Linked DNA regions of Oryza sativa Japonica Group. The protein of the gene in region 1 interacts with the protein of each later gene in a pairwise test. Links are inferred from orthologs where the notes say so. Each region holds a gene or a part of one and is shown on either strand. Other genes may lie near its edges.

The links.
Region 2: the proteins of guanine nucleotide-binding protein alpha-1 subunit (region 1) and G-protein coupled receptor 1 interact in binary tests that used the Arabidopsis thaliana proteins (3 or more experiments, as listed by UniProt). The link is inferred for Oryza sativa Japonica Group from reciprocal best matches to the Arabidopsis thaliana genes GP ALPHA 1 and GCR1.

What each region holds. Positions count from the first base shown.
Region 1 is NC_089039.1:15,698,333-15,711,305, reverse strand, and holds guanine nucleotide-binding protein alpha-1 subunit, read left to right. Parts: upstream 1-6,623; 5' UTR 6,624-6,965; intron 6,966-8,332; 5' UTR 8,333-8,412; coding exon 8,413-8,505; intron 8,506-8,603; coding exon 8,604-8,676; intron 8,677-8,925; coding exon 8,926-8,963; intron 8,964-9,044; coding exon 9,045-9,134; coding exon of another isoform or gene 9,135-9,153; intron 9,154-9,282; coding exon 9,283-9,360; intron 9,361-9,914; coding exon 9,915-10,022; intron 10,023-10,105; coding exon 10,106-10,207; intron 10,208-10,909; coding exon 10,910-10,965; intron 10,966-11,144; coding exon 11,145-11,279; intron 11,280-11,355; coding exon 11,356-11,449; intron 11,450-11,535; coding exon 11,536-11,595; intron 11,596-11,672; coding exon 11,673-11,752; intron 11,753-11,916; coding exon 11,917-12,082; 3' UTR 12,083-12,435; downstream 12,436-12,973. Other genes in the region: chaperone protein dnaJ A7A, chloroplastic-like, read left to right, coding at 1,184-1,311, 1,433-1,571, 1,658-1,715, 2,463-2,505, 2,671-2,719, 2,817-2,897, 2,988-3,833. UniProt on the Arabidopsis thaliana protein: Exhibits a fast rate of basal nucleotide exchange. Guanine nucleotide-binding proteins (G proteins) are involved as modulators or transducers in various transmembrane signaling systems.
Region 2 is NC_089040.1:5,225,334-5,236,079, forward strand, and holds G-protein coupled receptor 1, read left to right. Parts: upstream 1-1,928; 5' UTR 1,929-2,013; coding exon 2,014-2,202; intron 2,203-2,825; coding exon 2,826-2,857; intron 2,858-3,087; coding exon 3,088-3,257; intron 3,258-3,751; coding exon 3,752-3,846; intron 3,847-4,427; coding exon 4,428-4,529; intron 4,530-4,649; coding exon 4,650-4,706; intron 4,707-5,034; coding exon 5,035-5,178; intron 5,179-5,633; coding exon 5,634-5,704; intron 5,705-5,821; coding exon 5,822-5,927; 3' UTR 5,928-6,229; downstream 6,230-10,746. UniProt on the Arabidopsis thaliana protein: Together with GPA1, may regulate the cell cycle via a signaling cascade that uses phosphatidylinositol-specific phospholipase C (PI-PLC) as an effector and inositol 1,4,5-trisphosphate(IP(3)) as a second messenger.

The DNA.
Region 1 (12,973 bases):
TCCTCGTCGTCTTGCTTGCCCTGCTTTCTTTGGCTCACGAGCCAAACGAGCCCGCTCGAGCTAGACAACTAGCCGAGCCTAGCTTGGTTTTCTAGCTCGTTAGGATAATAAGCCGAGCCTAGCTAGACCGAGCCGAGCTGGCTCGACATCCACCCCCTACACGCGTGCCTTTGCCCAAATCTTATCTCCCGGGAGGCTCACTTCCCTCCCCGAGTGGCTGCGACGACCTCCGCAGCTCGAGACGAGGTGCCACTTCTTCTTCTCTCTCTCCATCCCCCATTCCTCCCCTCTCTTCCCGTGTCCCGTCGTCCACAGCTCCCCGACCAAATCCCTAGCCCTACTATTCCCGCGCCCGCCCCTCCCTCGCGTGGTCACGCCCGACAGCGCCGTGCCGCCACCGCTTCTTGCCCTATTGCCGCAGTTCTTCAAGAGGCTTTTGTCCTAATTTGCTGCAGCCCGGTAGGTATTATATATTTTTGTGGTTGGTAAATTCGGCAGCAAAAAAGAAAAAAAAATAATACCGAATGTTATAAACCCGAGCATCTCATGGTGTCCATGTATCAGCATATATGATATGTTAGGATCGGTAAGGATGCATAGCACACGATTACAACCACCAACTCCACCTCGAAGATAATATAGCGTAGTGTTTGCCAGCTTCGCACGTTATGGCCGAATTCTTATGTATAACAAATTTACCATGGTATGTAAGCTCAAAAATGCAAAACTAATTATCCTCGAACCTAAAAAAGTGTATACATGCAAGAGATGATCAATCCCACATATAAATACATGCAAATAATACACGCCCTGCTCGACAGCCACTGCTGCAGCTGTACCTAAGCTACTAGCTGTGGCCGCGGTGTGCATCCACAACCGTAGCAATGGCTGCTCAGCAGGCCCATGATCTCTGAAAAAGTTCCTGCAAGCAGTACATATGTATGTACAGTTGTACACACCCTCGCCCCTATTCATCCTCTTAAAGGAGTAAGGAGTAATGACAGTCGATATGTGTTGGTTGATTAAAATTTAGAAGAGAACGTTTTTGAATAGAATTGTGAACTTACTCGAATATCGTTCTTTTGTGTATTGCTTTTGTTATGCTTCACCTGACTCTATCTCTGTGAAATGGCAGCTAGTATATTGAAGGTTGAAGCTTTGTGGGTATCCAGCAAGTATTTCAATGGCGTTGCTACAGTTTGGAGGTACCTTGGCCCCCAAACTTGGGGAAAAACCTCAGCTGTTGCCCAGGTCACCTGCACTTACAAGAGTTATTTATGCTGATCCAAGATTTCTGGTGTCGAAAAGTGGGTATGTGAATGTGTTCTGATCAGTGAGATGTACTAGGAATACTAAAATAAAGGACACATTGATATTATAAAAAGGCAAGATTTCTGAGTAAACTGAAGATGATATATCTCTTTTTGTGCAGTAGTGGAGGCAGGCTTAAACACCTTGTATCACCTACTGCTAGTTTACAATCACGGACATCTTCTCGACTATTTAACCATGCACCATCACCGAGATTTCGCCATCGAAGGAGTTCAAGGTTCATTGTCAGAGCTGATGCTGTGAGTTACTTCATTTGCTTTTCTTCTTTGCTGGTATTATTAGAAAATCCAGTTTCCTGACATGGATTTGATATTTTAATTTACAGGATTTCTATTCCACACTTGGTGTTTCAAGAAATGCTAGTAAATCTGAAATCAAGAGTGGTAGGTGTGGTTTTATTTGTCAGTTTAGGGCATGCAGTGATTGGTGCTCCGTACAATCGTAGGAGTATTACCCAGCTTTGCTTCTTCTCTAGTTTGAGCCTGGTTGTAGGTTTGTAGGTACCCTATAATTTACCAAACAAACCAGACTGCTTTCATGTGGCTATTAGTCGTAGATTACTAGTTTTAAATCATACTGTTCACGTGTGAAACAAAATATATGTACAACAGAAACTGTTAAGCTTCCCAGGGAAGATATGAAATATATAACTAGTCTTTTTCAAACTTGGCCATAGTGAGCTTTATGGCCCACTTGTTTGTTCTCGAAAGCTTTACTATTCCTACTAGTAACTCAAATATTTGCTATTTCATCTAATTTGAAGGCTATCTCAGCAAAACCCCTTGAACTATTCTAAGACAAGCCTATGCTGTCTTCAGTATCATTTTCTGCAACTGATCATCTTGCGTTCTAGACTCGATACTGTTTATATTTCTGAAAATCTATTGTTGGCAACTTCTCATTGATGCATTGTTTGTATGGCCCTCAATCCCTGCCCTCCACGTGTGTGGGCAGAAATTTTGAACAAAAATCCCAACCCACACCCGTAGATAATCTAGGATTTGTCCTATCCAAATAATGCCTAAGGGGATATTATGTTAGAAATCCTTCAGAGTCAATTTTGATCAAAATATGTGTAGTAGTTTAATGTTGCTTTCTATTGTAGTTCTAAAATGGTCCTTCTTTTCCAGCCTATAGGAAGCTTGCTAGGAGCTACCATCCTGATGTGAACAAGTAAGTACTAACCATTATATGGGAATTGTGTTTCAGCTACACTCGATATATTGCTTCTTTTTCTCCTTTCGATCCATTATAAACCTGAGTACTAGTTGTTGCATTACCTTTTTCATAACTACATAATCAAATAAGCAATTGTTATGCTTGTGTATTTTTCTTTAGAGATCCTGGTGCTGAACAAAAGTTCAAGGATATTAGCAATGCTTATGAGGTTAGTCCAGCTAACCATAACCAAATCCCATTGTTTCTTATGACTATGTTGTTGTAGGGTTACAGGTGCTTGCCAGCTAACATAAATAGGATTGCAGGTTTTGTCTGATGATGAGAAGCGATCAATCTATGATAAATATGGAGAAGCTGGTTTGAAGGGTGCTGGAATGGGAACAGGAGTGAGTGTTCCTAGAATGTTGTCCAATTCTGAAGTATGATCAGCATGACCTTTATATGATATTGATTGTATGAAATTTGTGAATCTGCAGGATTACTCAAACCCATTCGATCTCTTTGAATCATTATTCGAAGGCTTTGGTGGAATGGGGGGAATGGGAGGCCGTGCTGCTCGGAACAGACCAATGCAGGGTGATGATGAGGCCTACAATCTGGTACTCAATTTCAAGGAAGCGGTGTTTGGTGTAGAGAAAGAAATTGAGATCACCAGACTGGAAGGCTGTAATACATGTGATGGAACTGGTGCCAAGCCTGGAACGAAACCAACCACATGCAAAACATGTGGAGGACAGGGACAAGTGGTCTCCTCAACAAGAACGCCACTTGGAATATTCCAGCAGGTCTCCACCTGCAATACTTGCGGAGGCACTGGTGAATTCTCTACCCCGTGCAACACTTGTGGGGGTGATGGCCGAGTGCGGAAGACAAAAAGGATCAGTCTAAAGGTTCCTGCTGGTGTTGATTCTGGAAGCAGATTGAGGGTCCGGTCTGAGGGGAATGCTGGGCGGAGAGGAGGCCCTCCTGGAGATCTTTATGTGTTTATTGATGTTCTCTCTGATCCTGTTCTTAAGCGAGATGGGACAAACATTCTATACACATGCAAAGTTTCATATATTGACGCAATTCTTGGGACAACCGTCAAGGTTCCCACTGTTGATGGGATGGTTGACCTGAAGATCCCCTCCGGTACCCAGCCAGGCACAACGTTAGTGATGTCCAAGAAAGGTGTCCCACTCCTCGGGAAGTCAAATGCTCGTGGAGACCAGCTAGTGCGTGTGCAGGTCGAGATTCCAAAGCGTCTGAGCAGCGACGAGAGGAAGCTGATTGAAGAACTTGCAAACCTAAACAAGGCTCAAACAGCAAACAGCAGGAGATAATTCCATGAGGCTTCATTGGACAAAATGCTTTGGCAATATGCAATTTTAACGCAAATTGCAGTGACTAAGTGAGCATGAACTGGTAAATCACTTCACAAACTGTACGCTCATGCTGCGCCGTACCATCGGTGGGAACTGTGAATTCTCATGTCTGTAACTTCATTTTTAAGCCATAGAAATCTAGTTCCATCCAAAACACCAAAACGGATGGTGTTTTACAGTAGCTTGTCATATGCTTTTAGGCGAGCTTATTAGTCTATTTTTCATAATACTTTTTCACAATTTTGAAAGGCCTAGGGAGAAATATTTAATGGTGCAAAAGGGACGAGTTTTGAAACATTTGTTTGTCGCAGAAGCACCAGACCATTCTGATTGTTATTGTAAGCTGTAACATCAAAGTTTTGGCAGCAGGTTTTCATGTGCTCTTAAGCGTTGGGGGTTTGTTCCGTTTGGTTTTCAACTGTATGCTAGCTTTCTCTATTAGCCAATGTAATGGCAGTTGCAAAATCTGTTGTAGTGCAGGCGTGCAGCTAAATGCAGTATAGCTGACTGTTAACTTTAAGCTGATTGTTCCATGCATGTGCCAGTAAAAGGCCAGTCAGGAATGAGTCTCATGGATCAATATATGGTGCAGACATGTCAGTAGGATATAGGAGTATTACATTATAGTTTTTTCAGCTTCAATAACGTTCATGTTAGCTTGTACATTGTATGGCAACCCTTCCATACTTGCGTTAGCCACAAAAGTTCACCATGTTAGCTTGGCTTTAGATCAGTTTAAACTGTCCTTTAATAGCAAATTAATAATCCATAAATGAAATTTTACTTCCACTGTTTACCAGTGCTACTACTGTTCTACCTCCAGCGTTCAACAGCTGAGAAACGTGAGGAGTCCAGCACCAGCAGTACCATTTACTGCAATGCGAGAGAGATGTTCTCCGTTTCCTCCTTCACTGAGGCTTAGGAGTAGGAGTAGTAGTGATTTTTTCGTGTCGACTTGTTTAACATTATCGTTAACACCATCAAGTGTCAATGCCAGTAGCCTGCTGCTTCTGATCATTTCTTCCTTCCCTCTTCTAACGCCATTATCGTTTTATCTCACCTTGCATTTATGTTCAAGTGACCATGGTTCTTGACAGAAGCAGCCCTTGTTCTTTCCTGTCCCTTTGTTTGTTCAGTACGCTATTATTCTCTTGGGTACTAGACCTTGTATAAACCGGTTGTGAAATCCTCAATCAAATAAAAGTTAACTCGAAATTTGTGGCCTGTTCCAAGTGTTTGGCAAACCAATATGTATATTATCCACCCGATTATCTAATGGCAATACAGTGCCTAAAATTCCTGCTTCCGGAGTCTTAAACTTTACCCGAATCCAATCTGGAAACCGAAAAGACAGCTGCTTGGCTGATGGCAAGTCACTGGGTACATTGATTTGTGTTAATTTTCAGTCCAATAAAACAGCGCAAAAATTGTAAGGGTGATCCCTCTTTAGTAAAGCCATGCATTCTGCAAACTCTGTTGCAATGCAAGCTGTATCCTATATCCAGTGCCGATGAACCAATTCTGTTTGCAGACTGTACCCTATCTCTACTCTACAAGCCAACCAAAGGAAAGTGTTTGATCTGCAGTGGAATACTAGCAGGTATTCCACCATTTCAGGGTTGGGAGTGTGATTGATATGCAGGAGATTGACATTGTGCAGAACATTGGCCGTCAGGCTGCCGCTGCCGTCGCCGGTGGTGTCGGTGAGAAAGCCCGGTGGTGGTGGTTGTGCCGGCGGCGAGGAGTGGCTGCAACAGGATGGGCTGTTGTGCATGGGCGGATCAGCGGGTGGCTTATGGCGGTGGCCACGCTGTTCGCCGGCGACGGACCCGGCGGCGGCGGCCTTCACGAGGGACGGCGCATGATGATCCTGGATAATTTCGAGACTTCGGGCCGGCGTGCGTGCAAAGCCCATACATATTCTACGCGCAACTGTCACGCACAAAAACGAAGTTTTTAGTACCACATGGAAAATCTATGACGACTGACACCGGCATAAAAGACGACGCGCTCGCATCGCTCCTGGCGAGCTCGGTGGCGTGAGCTTGTTACCCCAGCTGCGGGGGGGCGGGAGTTGGCATGTTTCGGCTGCTGGAGAAAATGAGGTTTCTCCCTCGATCGAATATGGATGCAAACATCCTCCCGACTTTGGCCCACGAGGGAGGGAAGGTGTGAGTCACCCTGGGCTCTTGACGGCTGCGTCATGGAGCGAAGAGGACGCTGAATCGTGGGAGAGGTGTGTGGTGGCCGGTGCCCGACGACGGCGCCTGGCGATGCGTGGGGAGAAGGCGAGCAGTTGTATGTGAAGAGGACGCTGAATCGTGGGAGAGGTGTGTGGTGGCCGGTGCCCGACGACGGCGCCTGGCGATGGGTGGGGAGAAGGCGAGCAGTTGTAGTTGGGACCCGCCACACCCCGCACGTGCGCAAGTCCATGACGTGAGCGCTCCCGGTCATTAGGAGCCACGTCAGCTGGCGGCCTCCGCCGTTGAGCTTTTCCCTGCCAACCGACACCCTTCTCCCCACCCATTGGCGAATGCCCTAGAGGTTTGGGTTGAGATAGGAGTAGAGGGGAGTGAGGTGGAAGAAGATTGCTAGTTGGCTTGTGGGTTCCACGTGGGCCCTGCACTGACTCAGCCACCACGTCAACAAAACCGGAAAGCAATACTACCTTGGGATTAAAAGTGGACCGTTTTGCAAGATTAGGGGTTCAGGGCCGTTTAAAACTCAACGACAAGATAAGGGACCTTAGATGAACTTTTTTGGGAGATGAGGCGCCTGTGCATATGACCCATAGGCAGGCGACAACGCGGCAGCAGAGCGCTGCACGACCTCCGCCTCCCCAATCCGTCCCGTCTCCTCGCCCGCCGCCCTCGACTCCCGTCTCCTCGCCTGCCGCTGGCGCCGATCTCCATCCTGCTAGCAGAGGTGGCGCCGGCGTCCTCCTGCTCCCGCCGCATTCGCATCCTAATCCATCCCATCCGGCCTCGGCCTCGAATTTCGTCTCCTCGCCCGCCGCTTGCGCCGATCCCCATCCTGCGAGCAGAGGTGGCGCCCGGCGTCCTCCTTCTTCCACCGCATCGTCGCTCGCCGGTGAGCATCCCTCCCTACCCACACCTCATCAGGTATTCTGCGTTATCCCTCAAAAAGTTTGGGGGTTCAACCGAAACAGGGTTAGATCTGCCTCTGCCCAGCTCCACCTACTTTCAAGTTGTTAATTTTGATTTCCGTTTTTAGCAGATGTAATTTGGTTATTGAATCTCATCCAAACACCCTTAGAACGAAAAATGTAAGCTCACATAATTTGTACTCATCCAAACTCACATAAATTTCTTAAGAAGAATCTAGACCACAAACTACCCATAGTCACACAAAATATCTTTTTATCAAGGTATATTCTTATAAGTAATTTTTATTCCACAAAATTTTCTAAAGGACATACTGTGACACTTGGCATGAATCTAATTTAACATTCTTTCTTTATCAGGTTATAAATTGAAACCATTGAACGTACTTTGTCTTCCCGTCCCTAAAACATTGTGATATATCTGTAATATTTTAATATTTTTAATTTTAAAAATAATTTAGACTAATAATATAGATATTTAAATTAGGTAATTAGTAAATTCAAATCAACTATAGTTTGGAATAAAAAAACAAAATGATATATGCCAAGTACAATCTAATAACAATAGAATGCACTTTTGGTTAATGTTTACTCCTAATTTCTTAATTTCTAGTTTGGCTCCCCCCACCGTTATGGTAAAAAATCGTTATGTTTTAACTATTTATCTGCTAGAGCATATGTAATATTTATGTAAACTATGTTCTTTATTACCAATCAAAATAGACACCTTACCTACTTTCATCAAAAGAAATAAAAAATGTAGTAGGTATTATTCTGGAATACTCCTCGTCGGAAACATATGGAACGCATTTCCCTCAAAACGCAAAAACCGGGGCCCCGAGCCCTCGACACCAACCCCGTCAGATGTGAAGCCGACGGCCCAAATGGAGGCCAGCGGTGCCAATGCGTAGGCCACGCGTGCCTCTGCGCAAATCTTATCTCCCGGGAGGCTTCGCTCCACTTCCCTCCCCGAGTCACTCAAACCATCCAATCCCCCCACCTTCCCTTTCCTTGCCCCCATTCCCCACCGTCGCAAGGAAAAATATTATTAATAAACAATGATGTTGATGTATTATTATTAAACAATGATATTGATGTATTTCTAAATATTTTCACGTATTATTTATTAAGTGTCAGTGATTGAAATGGATCCTGGTCGGAAATGAATCCTGGTCGGAAAATGGTTACTAATGTTTTTCCTTCATATAATATTTCTGGATATGTATAACAATGTGGGTCAGCAATATTGAACTATGCAAACCATTACTCTGTACAATCTTTTCTTTTCAAATGCTGGCCACATTTCGCTCGAGCTTACTGCTCATGTATGCAGCTCATGGATCCTGAGATCTAGACGTCAACGTGCTTCCTGGAAAGAGAGAGGCTCAGGCATGAGAGCATACCTCTAAAATAATGTCCGTGCTTACCTGTGTGCTTGATAACATGGGCTCATCCTGTAGCAGATCTCATTCTTTAAGTGAGGCTGAAACAACCAAAAATGCAAAAGTAAGTTAGCACTCGGACTTATTGAACAAGTAAATGCTAACTCAATTCTTGATTTGAGAGTTGCCACATTTGGTTTCTTCTAATTCAGCTGGTAACAGTCTGCAGACATTGACAGGCGAATTTTGCAAGAGACAAAAGCAGAGCAACACATCCACAAGCTCTTACTTCTTGGTATTGCTAACTTTCCCAAATTTAAGTGGTCATTTTCCTTGTCACAATTATCTGTGCTACCTTTAGTATCTATTGGTTCAGAAAATTAATTGTTTATGTTGTTCCTATTTACCTCTATAAAAAAACCTTTCTCATGTTATTTCCAAAAAAAAAGAAGATAAATAAATGTATCCTAGAAATTTTTAGTTTGAACTTGTTCTCAATGTGGATCCATCCTTCTTTCTCTCTCTCAATTGCTTCTGTTTTAAGGTGCGGGAGAATCAGGGAAGTCTACGATATTTAAACAGGTGATGAATGTTATATTCCATGGAGAATCATAATCCGTACGCCGCTAGTTAGTCTGATGTATTCTTACTGTTCACCTGCAGATTAAGCTCCTTTTCCAAACTGGCTTTGATGAGGCAGAACTTAGGAGCTACACATCAGTTATCCATGCAAACGTCTATCAGACAATTAAAGTATGCAATACTGGAAAGGGTGTGTCTTTTTTTTCTTATTGCAAAGTGGGGATTATGTAGGAGATTCGACTAGGGATTTGTATTCTGTTCATAAGGAAATGCGTTCATACTTTTCCTTTTTGTCGAGTAATGTGTTAAATGTTAACAGATACTATATGAAGGAGCAAAAGAACTCTCACAAGTGGAATCAGATTCCTCAAAGTATGTTATATCCCCAGATAACCAGGTTTGTGCTTACTCTTTACTCAACAGTTAAAGCTAAATCTGTGCATATGAACATGTCTTGTTAAATCTGGGAATACAAACATTTTGATTTGCAACATTTCTGTTGTAGTCAAGCTGCTCGGCTCTATGTTTTAACCTGTTAAGACCTTGTAGACTGTGCTCGGCTCTATTGTAGTCTTATATTTTACACGGTCATTCTATAATGAAAACTTGAAAAAGATATCTATTGAACCGTACAATGTACTGAACAAAGTAGAAAAGAACAATGAGATTTTGTAACATTTATTCTTCCTTGTTTATTTGATTGCTTCAGACAATTGTTGATATGCTAAAAATAACTTGGTATCAAATGTGGGTGTTATAAGATTCAATTTTTTTCTCAACCAGGTTAAAAAAAGTATACCTTTGTGCATTTACCTTGTTCCGTTGCTTTGGAACTTTAAAGGAAAACTGACTTTTCTTAGGCATTGAAAGACAAATATCACCAGTTTCACACTGTACACCTTACCAACCAATTTTGTTTCTTAGATGTCATTTACTTTGTCATATCATCAGGAAATTGGAGAAAAACTATCAGATATTGATGGCAGGTTGGATTATCCACTGCTGAACAAAGAACTTGTACTCGATGTAAAAAGGTTATGGCAAGACCCAGCCATTCAGGTGAAAACAAATAGCCATTCAAATCTTTTGAAGTTATATAGTTTTCCTGGCCAGGTGTGCTGAAGCAATGCTCTATACTGTAGGAAACTTACTTACGTGGAAGTATTCTGCAACTTCCTGATTGTGCACAATACTTCATGGAAAATTTGGATCGATTAGCTGAAGCAGGTTATGTGCCAACAAAGGTGTGCTGTCCATGTTCATAGACAATTATTTACATATTCTCAGATATTTGTGCTGACACCATTTCATGTTGATTTTTAGTCTACTTAGTCAGAGGTTGTCAAATGGTTAACTATGTGTACTGAGTCAGAGGTTGCCAAATAGTTTTAAAAGATGGGCATATGTTTATCCTTATCTTTTAAATAATATTGGAGGCTATCCTTTAAAATTCAATATTAGGGAGGAGAAACTATTATTCTACCGTTATTACGCAGTCTACATAACGAAGGTAAAAAATGTCCCTGTGAAACATAGGGTGCAAAACTGCTGTGAATAAAACTCTACTTATCTAAGCACCTTGAGCTTTTGAGTTCCCACATATTAATCTTATGACACTAGCATATATTTTTTTTGTTCAGTTCCTTCAATAAGTTGCAAACCACAAATATGATCACTGTACCATCCACTTTTGCAACCATTTCCCGTCATTTCTTAAGCATAGAAAATTGTTTGTCACTTGTTTAAGTCCACACTGCATCAAAATTCCAATTAACATTGTGTGTGCTAAGTGAAGATATGACTCCATATTTCTGCATTTAGCAGTCTGATGGATAATTTGTGATTGTACCTTGTCTAATGGTTCGTTTGAAAGGCTGGTAGTTGATCTTCCATACTTAAGAATGCTTGCAGTATTATAGTTGTCAATATTATGAGTCATTTTGCAGGAGGATGTGCTTTATGCAAGAGTACGGACAAATGGTGTTGTACAAATACAATTTAGGTAATCTGCTGACACTATTTTTTGCACATTTTTTTGCTGGTTGCTCTACTATGTACAGAACGACAAGTTGAAGTCCTTTTTTTCTCCCCTTTCACTTCTAAGATATGACCTGAGAGGTTCTGAATGTAGCTGTTTTAAGATGAGTTGAATCATCTAGTTAACTGGGTTTCTTTCTGCAGTCCTGTTGGAGAAAACAAAAGAGGTGGAGAGGTATATAGGTTGTATGATGTAGGAGGCCAGAGGAATGAGAGGAGAAAGTGGATTCATCTTTTTGAAGGTGTTAATGCGGTAATCTTTTGTGCTGCCATTAGCGAGTAAGTACAATTTTTTTGATTGTTGAACTTATCCTAATCTGCTAAGTTCTTCTCATAGGCTTCTTGTTCATTTCAGATATGATCAGATGCTATTTGAAGATGAGACAAAAAACAGAATGATGGAGACCAAGGAACTCTTTGACTGGGTTTTAAAGCAAAGATGTTTTGAGGTCTGCATGCATCCATCTCTGCAACCTTTGTGCTCATGCTTTTTTTCTCATTTTGAAACTAATTACGGTGCTATATTGACCATCAGAAAACATCATTCATTCTGTTTCTCAACAAATTTGATATATTCGAGAAGAAAATACAAAAGGTAAGGCCTGCTCTTTGTACCAATGCATAGTTTAGTACTAAATGTTACCAACATTTATGTTTACGCTGGTTACGTAGGTTCCTTTAAGTGTGTGCGAGTGGTTTAAAGACTACCAGCCTATTGCACCTGGGAAACAGGAGGTTGAACATGCATATGAGTGAGTGCACTACTCGCCCTCTCAGATGAACATGGGCATTTGGCCATTTGTAATGTTGCTGCATGGTGCACTTATATGCCTTGATAAGTTTTTCCATTCTAATGTTATATAGTATCAAACGTTCATCATTACTGTGGCTTATGGTCTGGAGTGACGTTTTACAGGTTTGTCAAGAAGAAGTTTGAAGAGCTCTACTTCCAGAGCAGCAAGCCTGACCGTGTGGACCGCGTCTTCAAAATCTACAGAACTACGGCCCTAGACCAGAAACTTGTAAAGAAGACATTCAAGTTGATTGATGAGAGCATGAGACGCTCCAGGGAAGGAACTTGATTCAGAGCTAAGACTAGGTTGTAAGTCACACAGGGAAGGTAATTAGGACGGCGAGAGGAACAAAGTTTCACACTGTCACAGCTTTATCTGTTGTAATTCTTTTACACGTGGACCATTGATTGATCTTTTGGTTCTTACTGTGGGCTGTTCAGGTCTGTACCCTATTTTTTGTTCTCTAGTTAGCCATTGTGCAAATTTTCCTTGAATCAGATTCTCTACCTGTTGTCTATGTGTGTTATCTTGGTCTGTTAATTTGCATAGCCCACTTGTTCATTACAAAAGGAGATCTTTACTACTTACAAAAAAAAAAATCTAGTGGGAAAGTGGTTGCAAATAATTGAAGAAATTATAGCTAGAAGGTGTATCCATGGTGGTGGCTTGAGCCCTTGAATCCCGTTATTTTGCATACAATTACATATGTTATTATAGCTTGCAGAGTACACCATTAGCTGTAGTTACCTGGTCCACCGTAGTATACATGCATACAGTAAGCATTAATTCCATAACTATCGGAGGTCGATTTTGCTATATATTTGTCGACAAATTTTTCCTTTGACAGATGTAATTACAGTACAATCGTAGTGTAATTATATTGTAACTTGCATGTAATTACACTGTAACTAACTTGTATGTAACTTTTAAAAATCTCTCCATAACATGTTATTTTGGTAAAATAGAGGTCATGGGAACAAATTCTTTCACATATGTGTGTGCTATGATTTGTTTTTTTTTCTCATCAAAATAAATCTTATAATAGATCTAACGATTCAAAATTATGTGAAACTTACATATAAATTACAGTGTAGTTACATGCAAGTTACAGTGTAATTACATATAAGTTACAGTGTAATTACACTACGATTGAACTATAATTACATCTGTCAATTTTTG
Region 2 (10,746 bases), on another chromosome or scaffold:
TTATGATTAATTCGATCAAGGAATGTAGCATAAGGTGCGATCGAAGGGCCGTTTGACTAATGGAATTATTATTTTTTGGATGCATTAAACTCGATAATGCATCCGAGCTAAGAAAAATATTACTGCTGTACTGGTAGCCCACAAGTTAATTAAATTAACTAGGCCATAAGGTTATGGCTCACATGGGTGCATATAAATTTGGACACTGTATCTGTACAAAATTGTGTGAAATCTGTCTGTTGAAGTACACGCCTCACAGTCACAGTCGTTGCATATTCACCCCTTAATCCTTATGTATACAGCACTAGTAGTATTTTAGTCCTTGGATCAAACCTAAAAAATGTAGTATTTTGCCATCGAGAACGAGCGGTGTAGTAAAGGAAATCGCGACTTTGACCATGTTCAAGAAAACAAAATCATGATATTTTAAAGAGTGAATTGCATCTTGAACTATGTTTTCTTACCCATGTTTCACAATGAACTAGGTGTTATCAAACATTTTCACTTTCAACCAACTATAGTTACTTGAGCATGCAATTTGGACAAGAGGCCCACATGTCAGCCAGACCATGTGTGTCTCTCCCTCTTCCCCTTCTCTCTTCCTCCTCAAGACCAGTCCATCCCTATCCCCACTATCGCTCCCTCCACTTCTCTTTCCAGTTTGCCTATAGCAGTCTAGCTGTCCATCTGTTGTTTCCCTTGAGCTTGAGCATCTAGATTAGGAGCTTATGACTAGATCAAGCACTAGATCAGATCATGCTGCCTCTACTGTTGCAAGAGCAATGAGCACAATACATGGAAGAAAAAAGAGTAGCTACGGAGCAGGGCTGTTGAGGCGCCACGACGGTGCAAGTGGAGCTCGAGCATGGGGCATGGAAGGCGGAGGTTAAGCTCAAGCACGCAGCTAGCAAAGGTGGCCACAGATGGAGCTTGAGCTCAAGCTCAGGGGCAACGTAGACAGAGCTCCTCTCTTCAACGCCATTCCCCGCGGCTCTCAATACCTTAGGCTAGTGGTGTTGTGCTCCTCTGCTAGCTTGACCCAATGTCAGTGCCAAAGTTAGAGACGATTGGCAACAGTCAGCAGCTTGATGTAGAAGCAAGCAGTGGCTGAGTGGAAACATGGAATGTGAAAATGGATAGAGTGGTCTAATGTGCAACCCAAGGTAAAAGACTCTTGTATAAACTAAAAATGTTGGATGTGCCATAGTCCAAAGTGAAACTTTAGTCATAATAACTAGCCCAATATACAATTCACTCTATTTTGAAACTAACCCACTTTATAGAGAAGCATCATATACTATTTACGGAGGGGAGTATATACTTTATTTATAGTTTTAGAAGCACAAACTAATATACATACATCCTATAAAAAAGGAAATCGATAGAGCATACACGTTCTAAAAAATCTTACAAAAATGATCCCAACCTTTTGGTTAAATAAAATCTAGATACGATCTAAGCATGACCCATCAGTGTCAGTAATAAAAATTCATTAAGAAAAAAACCTTTTCCAAATCAGTAATCTTAGGTTGCATTCTTTTCTCCCCTTTTCTAATTTATACTATCTCGTTTCTCGCACACATGTATGGTGTGTTTTTCTTAAAAAAAATTCTATATCAAAGTTGTTTAAAAATTCATATAAATGTAAATTTTAAATTTATTTTATCTAATACTTAATTAGTTATGTGCTAATGAGTCACTCCATTTTGGTGTTAAGGAAAAGTTCTCAACTGGAGCTACCAAAGGCAGACTTATACCGAGTTCATCCATGGATGGGCCCATACACACAGAAGGCCCAAAAAGCAATACGTCTGTACGCTGGCTCGGCCCATTAGACTAACCACCAGACAGACCAAGTAAACCACAGCCTTCGCTACGAAGGCAGGCAAATCCGGTCCAAAACCCAAACCCAACCCAACGACCAAACCACCGACCGGCCGTTCCACTGCGCCATTCCTTCCTTCCCCCCACCTCCTCGTCGACGCGGAGATCGCTCGCTCGCCGGCGACGGCGATGGCGGCATCGGCGGCGGCTGCGGCGGCGGTGAGCCAGGCGCTGAGGGACCGCGACGTCCTCGACGCCGTCGGCACCTCCGCCGCCGCGCTTTCGCTCGCGGGCTCTTCCTTCATCGTGCTCTGCTACCTCCTCTTCCGCGAGCTCCGCAAGTTCTCCTTCAAGCTCGTCTACTTCCTCGCGGTCTCGGTGAGCGGCTCAGATCTGGAACTACTTGGTTTTGGGGGGTTCTGGGTTCGGGAGGCTAGCCTCGTGATCTGCGTAACTGCGTTGGGTTGCGATTTGGAATTGGGGAGCGCAAAGTGGGGATCTGAGGGCAGTGCGGTGTTCATTTCGCCTCCGATTGAGAAATATTGGGGGTTCACGCCGTCAGTTTAACCAACGGATGCTCTGTTTTTGCTGCTTATGCGTGCGAGCTGAAGCAGTTCTCGACAATTTTTTTTTTGTAAGATGTTTGCTATCTGATCGGCACTTGAAGTAGCATAGGGCATGCTCCATTTTTTTTTTAGTGAACCGTGTGAGGATGTTTATGTCATAGACCCTTACTTCAATGTGGCAAGTGATGTCCCTATAAGTATCCATGTAGGCAATTGGCTGGGAGATCACATTTCGTGCTACTGTCTTCTTGGATTGGAAGTACAGTTGGTTTGTTATCTAATTATCATGTTGGTTTGTTAATATTATTAATTGCTGCAAGACAAGCTGATGTCTCTAATCTCAATTTCTTCAAGACATTTGGAAATTTGTTTGAGAGAAATGATATCACATTTCTATTCAAGGTGTTTTTCTGACAGCTTCTGTCTAAATTGCAGGATATGTTTTGCAGCTTATTCACTATTATGGGGTATGCTTCTGACTGTGTTATTCAAATTGTATTTGATAATGCACGTAGTTACTTCCTGACTTTAAATAACTGCAACTAATGTAGGAGAAAGTGTATTACTGTGAAGGAAAAAACATATTGTTCTTTATTTTGTTATTTTTGGAACTGTTACTCATGATTACCCCTTTTTTTGCTGACTTTCTATTATGCGCTAGTGAAATATTCTTACACACATGCTTTTCATATTGCAGGGGCCCATCAAATGCATTCTACTGTTTTGCTCATGACTACAGTGCACACTTCTTCTGTGTGGCTTCTTTTCTATGGACAACCACTATAGCGTTCACTCTTCATCGCACCGTTGTCAAACATAAAACGGATGTTGAGGAGTTTGGATCAATTTTCCACCTGTATGTGTGGGGTATGCAATTCTTTTGACCACTTCTCTGCCTTTCTTGGAGCTTGTGCGTGCCAAATTAGCTGGTGCAATATTATTAAGAAGTTAGAAATGCTTGTTGATTTGGTATAGTGCTTCTTTTTCATTTGAAGTATTGACAATTTTATAGCTGTTTCATCTATTTGAAGTGTATGTGATTGATAAGAGGGAACAAGCGGGAGCATTTTGATTTCTTATATCTAAGCATTATGTAGATTTGATGCACATACTTTTGTTTCTCCTTTTCTGTTATTGTTGTCTGCATTGTTTGTCATCTAAGAACCAAGTATGCAAGTTCCAGTTTCTCATGCATTTTTCATTCCTGTCTGCTAATGTATATACTGAATGGTAGACAACTTAAGACATTTGTTGACTTGACATAATTGCGAACATGTGTTGTAACTCATCCTATTAATCTTGTTGCCCTGCTTGAATTTACAGTTCTTGTGACAATAATTTTCCTTTTATATGTTTCTCAGGAACTTCACTAGCTACAACTGTATTACGTTCAATTGGAAGTGATTATGGAAGGCCAGGCACCTGGTGTTGGATCCAACAAGGAAGCATGGGAAAGGCATGTGACCTTTTGTGTTTTGTCATGAATCAGTTAACTTGGTTCTAACACTGCTAACACCTATCTACAGCTTACATTTGAACCTTATCCATGGTAGTCAGAGTGGCCCAAATTGGTGCTAATGACGTTCCTATATGTTTTTGCTTTCATTTAGTATTTGAGCTGTTATCAAATGATCCAAAACAAACTCCACTCAACAGAATAAGTACTACCTTTGTCTCAAAAAGACTTCATTTCTAGCTATGAACCTAGGCAAGTATTGTCTATATTCATAGTCAGAAATGAAGTCTTTGTGGGATGGAGGTAGTAACATTTATTTATTTGGAATTGCTTACGTACCTTGCACAAGACAGATGGTATCATAAAGTTTAGTGAGTCTCTGAGAGTATACGCATGCTTTCTCTTAGTTTGTATGTTTGACTTTTTGTGCATTGGCTTCTTTCTTTTCCATATCTTTACTGCAATCTATGTCTTCTGTTAATTTGCCATCTTGATCCTAGCTAGACCACTCATTCAAAATAAAAATATTGTCACTTTGTCAGAATTTTAGCAATTGTTCATTATATGTCTTTTATATGCAGGTCTTGCACTTGGTAACCTTTTATCTTCCATTGTGGGGTGCCATTCTCTACAATGGGTATACATACTTTCAGGTTAATCGCATGATAAACAACGCGACAAGGGTATGCATACAGTTTTCTATTTTATATTGATGATAAATAAGGCTTGTATTGAATCCTTGTAAATTCTGCTCTTTTTGCTTATATGTTCTGATTTTCATAAGATAATGGATGAATTTGTAGATGGCTGTTGGCATAAGTGATCGATCAATTCAATCTGACGTGAGGGCAGACAAGAAGGTATAAATTTCCTACACATCTCTTCTCATTATGTGTACTGAAATATTTTCCCCTAATGTGCTACTGTATTCTTCCTACTATCATGAATTCAGAGAGTAACTCATTTGATCCTATTATTTTTTTTATACCTCCAGTCTTGAGATGAACTGGAGTATAATACCTTATGTTATCATGTTTGGAGCAAAAATGATGTGTAAATTCTAGGAGTACTTATATTATCATGTTACCTGGATGTCTGGATCAGCCTCGCACCACTGTCTACTGTCTGGTAGCAGATAGGAATGTTTATTTGAGCAGATACAGCTTATTGACTTGTTTTCTTTTGCAGGCGTTTAATCGGTGGGGTTATTACCCTCTCATTCTAATAGGTTCATGGGCTTTCGCAACAATCAATCGTGTGCATGACTTTGCTAATCCAGGCCACAAGATATTTTGGCTCTCTATTCTTGATGTTGGGTTTGCCGGACTTATGGTGAGTATTTTCATCCTAGATGCTAGTTACCCAGTTCTGAAGAGTTTTCATAACATATTGAAACTACTTTGATAATGTGGGTTGAGCCAACCTTTTAAGTTTAGGGCTAGAGAAAGAGGCTTAGAGGACTCCACGTATCTTGTTGTCAGTCCTGTTGATAATTTTTTATAAATGGGAGCGCTGGAGTTCCAACCCTACTCTTTCTTGAAACAGGCCTATGAAATTGGTTGTATTTCATACTTAGCCTTCAGTATCCAAAGAATTGGCTCTATATAATGCATAGATGAGTCATGGTCTCGTGGAGTCCTCTTGAAGTTCTGTTTGTAGAAGTGTATTGTTGTTTTGTTTCCTTGTGAGGCTTACCTCAGCTTGAGCTTATCTCACAAAACTTCTCTGGCGTTACATCATCTGTGAACACATTTTCCATGGATTCTAATGCTTCATGGTATCTTTAGGGGCTTTTTAATTCCATCGCTTATGGGCTCAACTCGTCAGTGCGCAGAGCGATTGCTGAAAGACTTGACATGTGAGTTATTTTCTAGACTTTACAATCATCTGTTCCTCCTGTATCACCTCATTTCCGTTTATCATTTACTATATTGGTTTATGCACTATATAACATTTTGTTTCCTGAATTGTCCAGGTATCTACCTGAGAGATTTAAAAGGAGCCTCCCTACTCTGACACGATTTAAAAGTCAGCAAGAAAATGAACTTACTTCTCTTATTGTCGATGCGAGTAACACATAGGAATTTTTCTAGCACACTAAGTTTGTTCATATCTTGTGGGTTCTTCAATCCAGAAAGGGTGTATGACATTACTGTAGAGCCAGATGTTTAGCATTAACCATTTGTTAGCATGTGGAATAGTTCCCCTGCGGTCCTTTGTTGATTGCCTTGAACACGAGCAGTGTAATATATTGAAGTTGCATTGTCCGGAGTACATAAGAGATTAGGAGATAGCCAGAGTTGTAGATACTACTATGACGTTGATCTGTATCCCTTTTTTTGTGGATGTATCAGTGTACCACCCTCTCCATGTTTTGCTTTCATATGTTTGTCTCAAAATACTGGCCACAGGCCACATACGGTACGACTTACTAATGTTTCGGTTCTCCTGAGTCCTAACAGTTGACAGTGTCAAAACAGTTTTTCCCATTGATGATTATTTTCACCTTAGTGAAAGCGTAGTTCTTGTAAACTGCCTCGTGGCCTTGTCCATGGGAAAGGAAAAGCACTAGGCTATTGCTTTGAGATGGTGTTGGCTCGAGCTCTCGTCCATAGTGGAAAAGGAGAAGCGGCAAAAGGTGAATACATGGGGAAAGGAAGGAGGCTGGCAATTGCTTTGAGATGGTGTTGGGGATAGGATTCAACATGTTTGAAGGAAGAATTGAATAGGGCTTGCCTTGCTTAGGAGTTACGGTGTTGGGGATAGGATTCAACATATTCGAAGGAAGAATTGAATAGGGCTTGGCTTGTTCAGGAGTTACTCGAATATTTCTCGGTCTTGCACACTCTCGTCAACAGCGACAATCGATTTGTCCTCTATTTTAAATTTAAACGTACATTCAAATGAACATCCAGTAAAACTCTAATATAAAATATGATGCATGGTGCATGAACATATTCAGCGTATATAGGGTGATTTAATATAAATTTAGGAGAAATAATTGCCTAAATCTGATGTATGTGCAATTTATCGCGTTTCTAAGATTTAAATTACAGTAAATACTAAGGTTGCTATTCAAATTTAAATTAATGAAATTTTACAGTATGGTGGTGCTAAGTTTGAGTGTACAATACCAAAGAGAAAATTATTATAATCTAACAAAATTTGGTTAACCTCAATCGGAGTTAAAATGTTTTTTATATAATTTTTTTCAAAAGTTTCAGAATTTCTCAGTACAAAAATAATTAACAGAAACCTTTTCTCAGATTTAATAATTTGTTTACAAAAGAAACTAAAGCGCACTATATAGAGTACGTTTTCCTACAGGGAAAACGTTTTCTAATTGTGTGCATCGATTTAAAACAGTGGGTCCACATGTCAGTGAAAGGCACTCCTCTAATCATTCGGCCAATCATTAAAGTTTCCAGAAATTACATATAGATCCTATGCCTACCTATCAGTGTCTTGCATTTCTTAAAAAGACACTGGGCCTCTTCACTTTACATCATTTTCAACCATATCATTTTTTTTAAAGTTATTAAAAAATATATATATTTAGTTTGTTGTTAAGTTTGATAAATACATAAGAAATTCTGCTAAAATTTTAACAATATTATCATCTTATCAAAATTTTAAAATAATAAAATTTAGTAAGGTTTATTTAAAATAACAAAATCTGAACAGCCCCCTATCTTTTCCTCCTTCAACCTACAGGCAGCTCGATGGGCAGAGAGGCGCGGCGACTCGGGAAGGGCTCGCCGGCGACGAGCGGCCGCGGGGATGGCTCGGCCGAAGGCCGTGGAAGCTATAGGAGGTCCTTGCGCACATCCTAGAGGCGGTGGCGCAGCCGGGGGTGGCTGGAGGCGGCGAGCGCCATGGCCGGCAGTGCAGGCGGTTCGGGACGGCGGCGGGCAGTGTGCTACGGCGAACAGTGGCTCGATTAATGGATAGGGGAGGGCCTAGGGACTACGAGGAGGCTTACTCCTTGCTTGATTCGGGGCGGAGGTGGTGCGTGACGGCGCGGCGACGGGTTCACGAGGCGGCGGACGGCGGCAATGGCGGCGGCGGCGCTCCGGCGAGGGGGGGGGTCTAAAATTAGTTGATGAAATGGGTTCAAGGGGCTCCCGGGGTCATGCTGGCGCAAGGAAAAGGAAGGGGGCTCACCGACGCGACGGCTCGATGGTGTAGGTGATGGCGGTGGCTCTGTTCGGCCGGCTCGGGGGTGCGGTGATGGCGCGGCCGTTCCCGTCGAAACAGAGAGGTTAGGGCTTCGTCTAGGGATGTTGGAGAACGAGTGTGGTGTGGGGAGTCAGCCGGCGCGAGGTCTCGATTTATAGGCGAGGGAGGAGCGAGAAGCAGGCGCGCGCGGTTGTCTCGCCGTTGGTGCGCACGGGCGAGGCCGACGGGAGACATGGCGTGGGCGGCCTCGGCGGGAATCGCGGCGGAAGGCTGGGGACGCAGCCTTCCCAGAGGCTTTTTGCAGAGGGATGGCAGCGGCGGTCGGGGTCGTCGTGTCGCGTCGTCGCCTTGGGCAGAGAGGGCGGCGTCGATTGGCCGCGGCAGAGCGGAGATTGGCTTGGTCGGCATCGGGCAGAGGTAGGGCAGAGGGCGGCGGCATTGGATTGGCCACGGCGGCTGCGGTGCAAGGCGCCTGGGCGCGGCAGGGGCGGCGTCGGCTTTGTGCAGCCTTGGCACAGCGGGAATCGCGGACAGAGGGTGGCTTGGTCGTCTTGGAGGCGCTGACTTCGGGTTGGCACTCCAAATGTTCGACGAAATGACCTCAAGGGGGAGAGGTGAAGAGGAGAGGGAAAACTGAGAGTCTGGGAATTTTTTTTTTCAGGATTGTTACAGAGCTCAAAAGCTTGTGCCAAAATTACTGGAAGTTAGTGTAGTCATGAACTTCATTTGGTGAATTTCTGGGATTTTTCTCATGTGTAGTTTATATTGTTTTGAAAATTCATACAAGTTCACTGTTTTTATTTCAATTTGAATCAAATTTTGGATGTTTTCGTCTTTTTGATTGAGATGAAAAACTTGTGAGACTTAAGGAAGGTTATTTCAAGTGTGTACCACTTATTTCAATTCTTTTTATCCCTTTTTGATTTAATACTTCAACATTTTTTTGTTTATATCTATTGCTTGCAAATACATTATAAGATGCATGAAAAATCCAAGAACGCCAAAAATAAGTTCAAAAGACAAAGAAAAAAAATCAAAATCAAAATCAAAATTTTGCTAAGTTTTTCTTTATTTTCCTTTTTTTCTGACTTCAAAGAATTCCGGGTACGTTACAAAAAGTTCATTTTTATTAAATAGGGTGACGACATGTCAATACTTTTTATCATATGATTAGGAATTCATAAAAGTATAAGAGATAAAATAAGTAAACACATATCTACACTGTTCTGTTTTCAATACAACTTATCTGTTGCACTTCTTATACGAGCTATTTCAATCGTCAATTAAAAACCTTATTAGAAACATCAAAATGACATCCTCATTTGCTTGTAGTACTAGTTCTCCAAGTAGCAGTGCTTCTAGTTTTTCTCTGGCTGTGGCCGCTAGCTTGTTCGTTGTCACCCTTCCTGCTGACATTCTTCTCGTCTGTCCTCCCACCAGCTGCTACTTTGTGCTCGGCTAGTCTCACTCTCACATAGTCACCTCAAGGCGGCGGCGGCGGCGGCGGCGATGGCTTCACTCCCGGAGGTGGCGATTGTGGCCCTCTGCGCCGCCGAGGGCTGCGCGAGGCTGCTGAAGCCTATCCTCGACTTCCTGGCGAACGGGATGAGCCCCAGCAGCGCCGCCGCCGACGCGGCCATCGTCGCCGCCCTCCTCGCCCTCGTCTTCGCCTACCTCGTCTGCGTCTTCCTCGTCTACCTCTCCGTCACTACCCCATCGGCGGTCGCGGCTGCCGTGAAGCTGTCCATTGTCACCGCATTCACGCTGGTCTTCGCCAGGCCAGCCATTGCCTCCGTCGTCGTCGTCGTCGCCGGCGGTGGCCTCTAGTGACAGTGAGCGAGGTAATATTTGCTGAGGATTTTGGTTGAGCCTGAACTAAATCCCAGCTAAATCCCCAAATCCAAACATACAAGTGGTGGGGAAAAATATTTACTACTACTACAGATAGTTCAGTACAATAAAGTGATAGTATCAGATACAACGAATTGGAGTAGCATGTAACGCCATGGATTTACAATTGAAGCACTCTACAATCTACTCCCTCCGTCCCACAGTATAAGGGATTTTGAGTTTTTTTTTTTGCTTGTAACGTTTGACCATTCGTCTTATTCAACTTTTTTTTTGCAAATATAAAAAACAAAAAGTTGTGCTTAAAGTACGATAGATAATAAAGTAAGTCACAAATAAAATAAATAATAATTTCAAATTTTTTTTTAAATAAGACAAGTGGTCAAACACTACAAACAAAAACTCAAAATCCCTTATATTATGGTTCGGAGGGAGTAGATTTAAGGGGACCATGCGTGCAGCCATGGACAGTGGCTGCTATAGCTATGCTATCCCCTAGTTTCCTAACGAGGCATTTTCCTGCTTGGCCTTGGGGGCGAAAAGACACCACCCTGATGAGTATGATTAGTCAATAATGTATTGGACAAAAGTTCCATGGATATGCAATGTGAAATTTCTCCTTTCTGAAAGTTAGTTATTGTCACTCCACATCGTGTTGTACGTTGGATTGGATGGTTTCATTTGCATTCAGTTGAAGCACGTACTGGCAATTCGTTCTGGAGAATAAATTGGATACCCAAGCCATCTTCTTTGGGAGACCGATGCTCAAAGGTCTGAGAAATGCACTGTTGGAAGATGGAACGGACAGTGGCGTGAATGTTTAGAGATCTTTTTTTGAATGGAAAATGTGTTGGGAGTGCTAAGGACAAACTA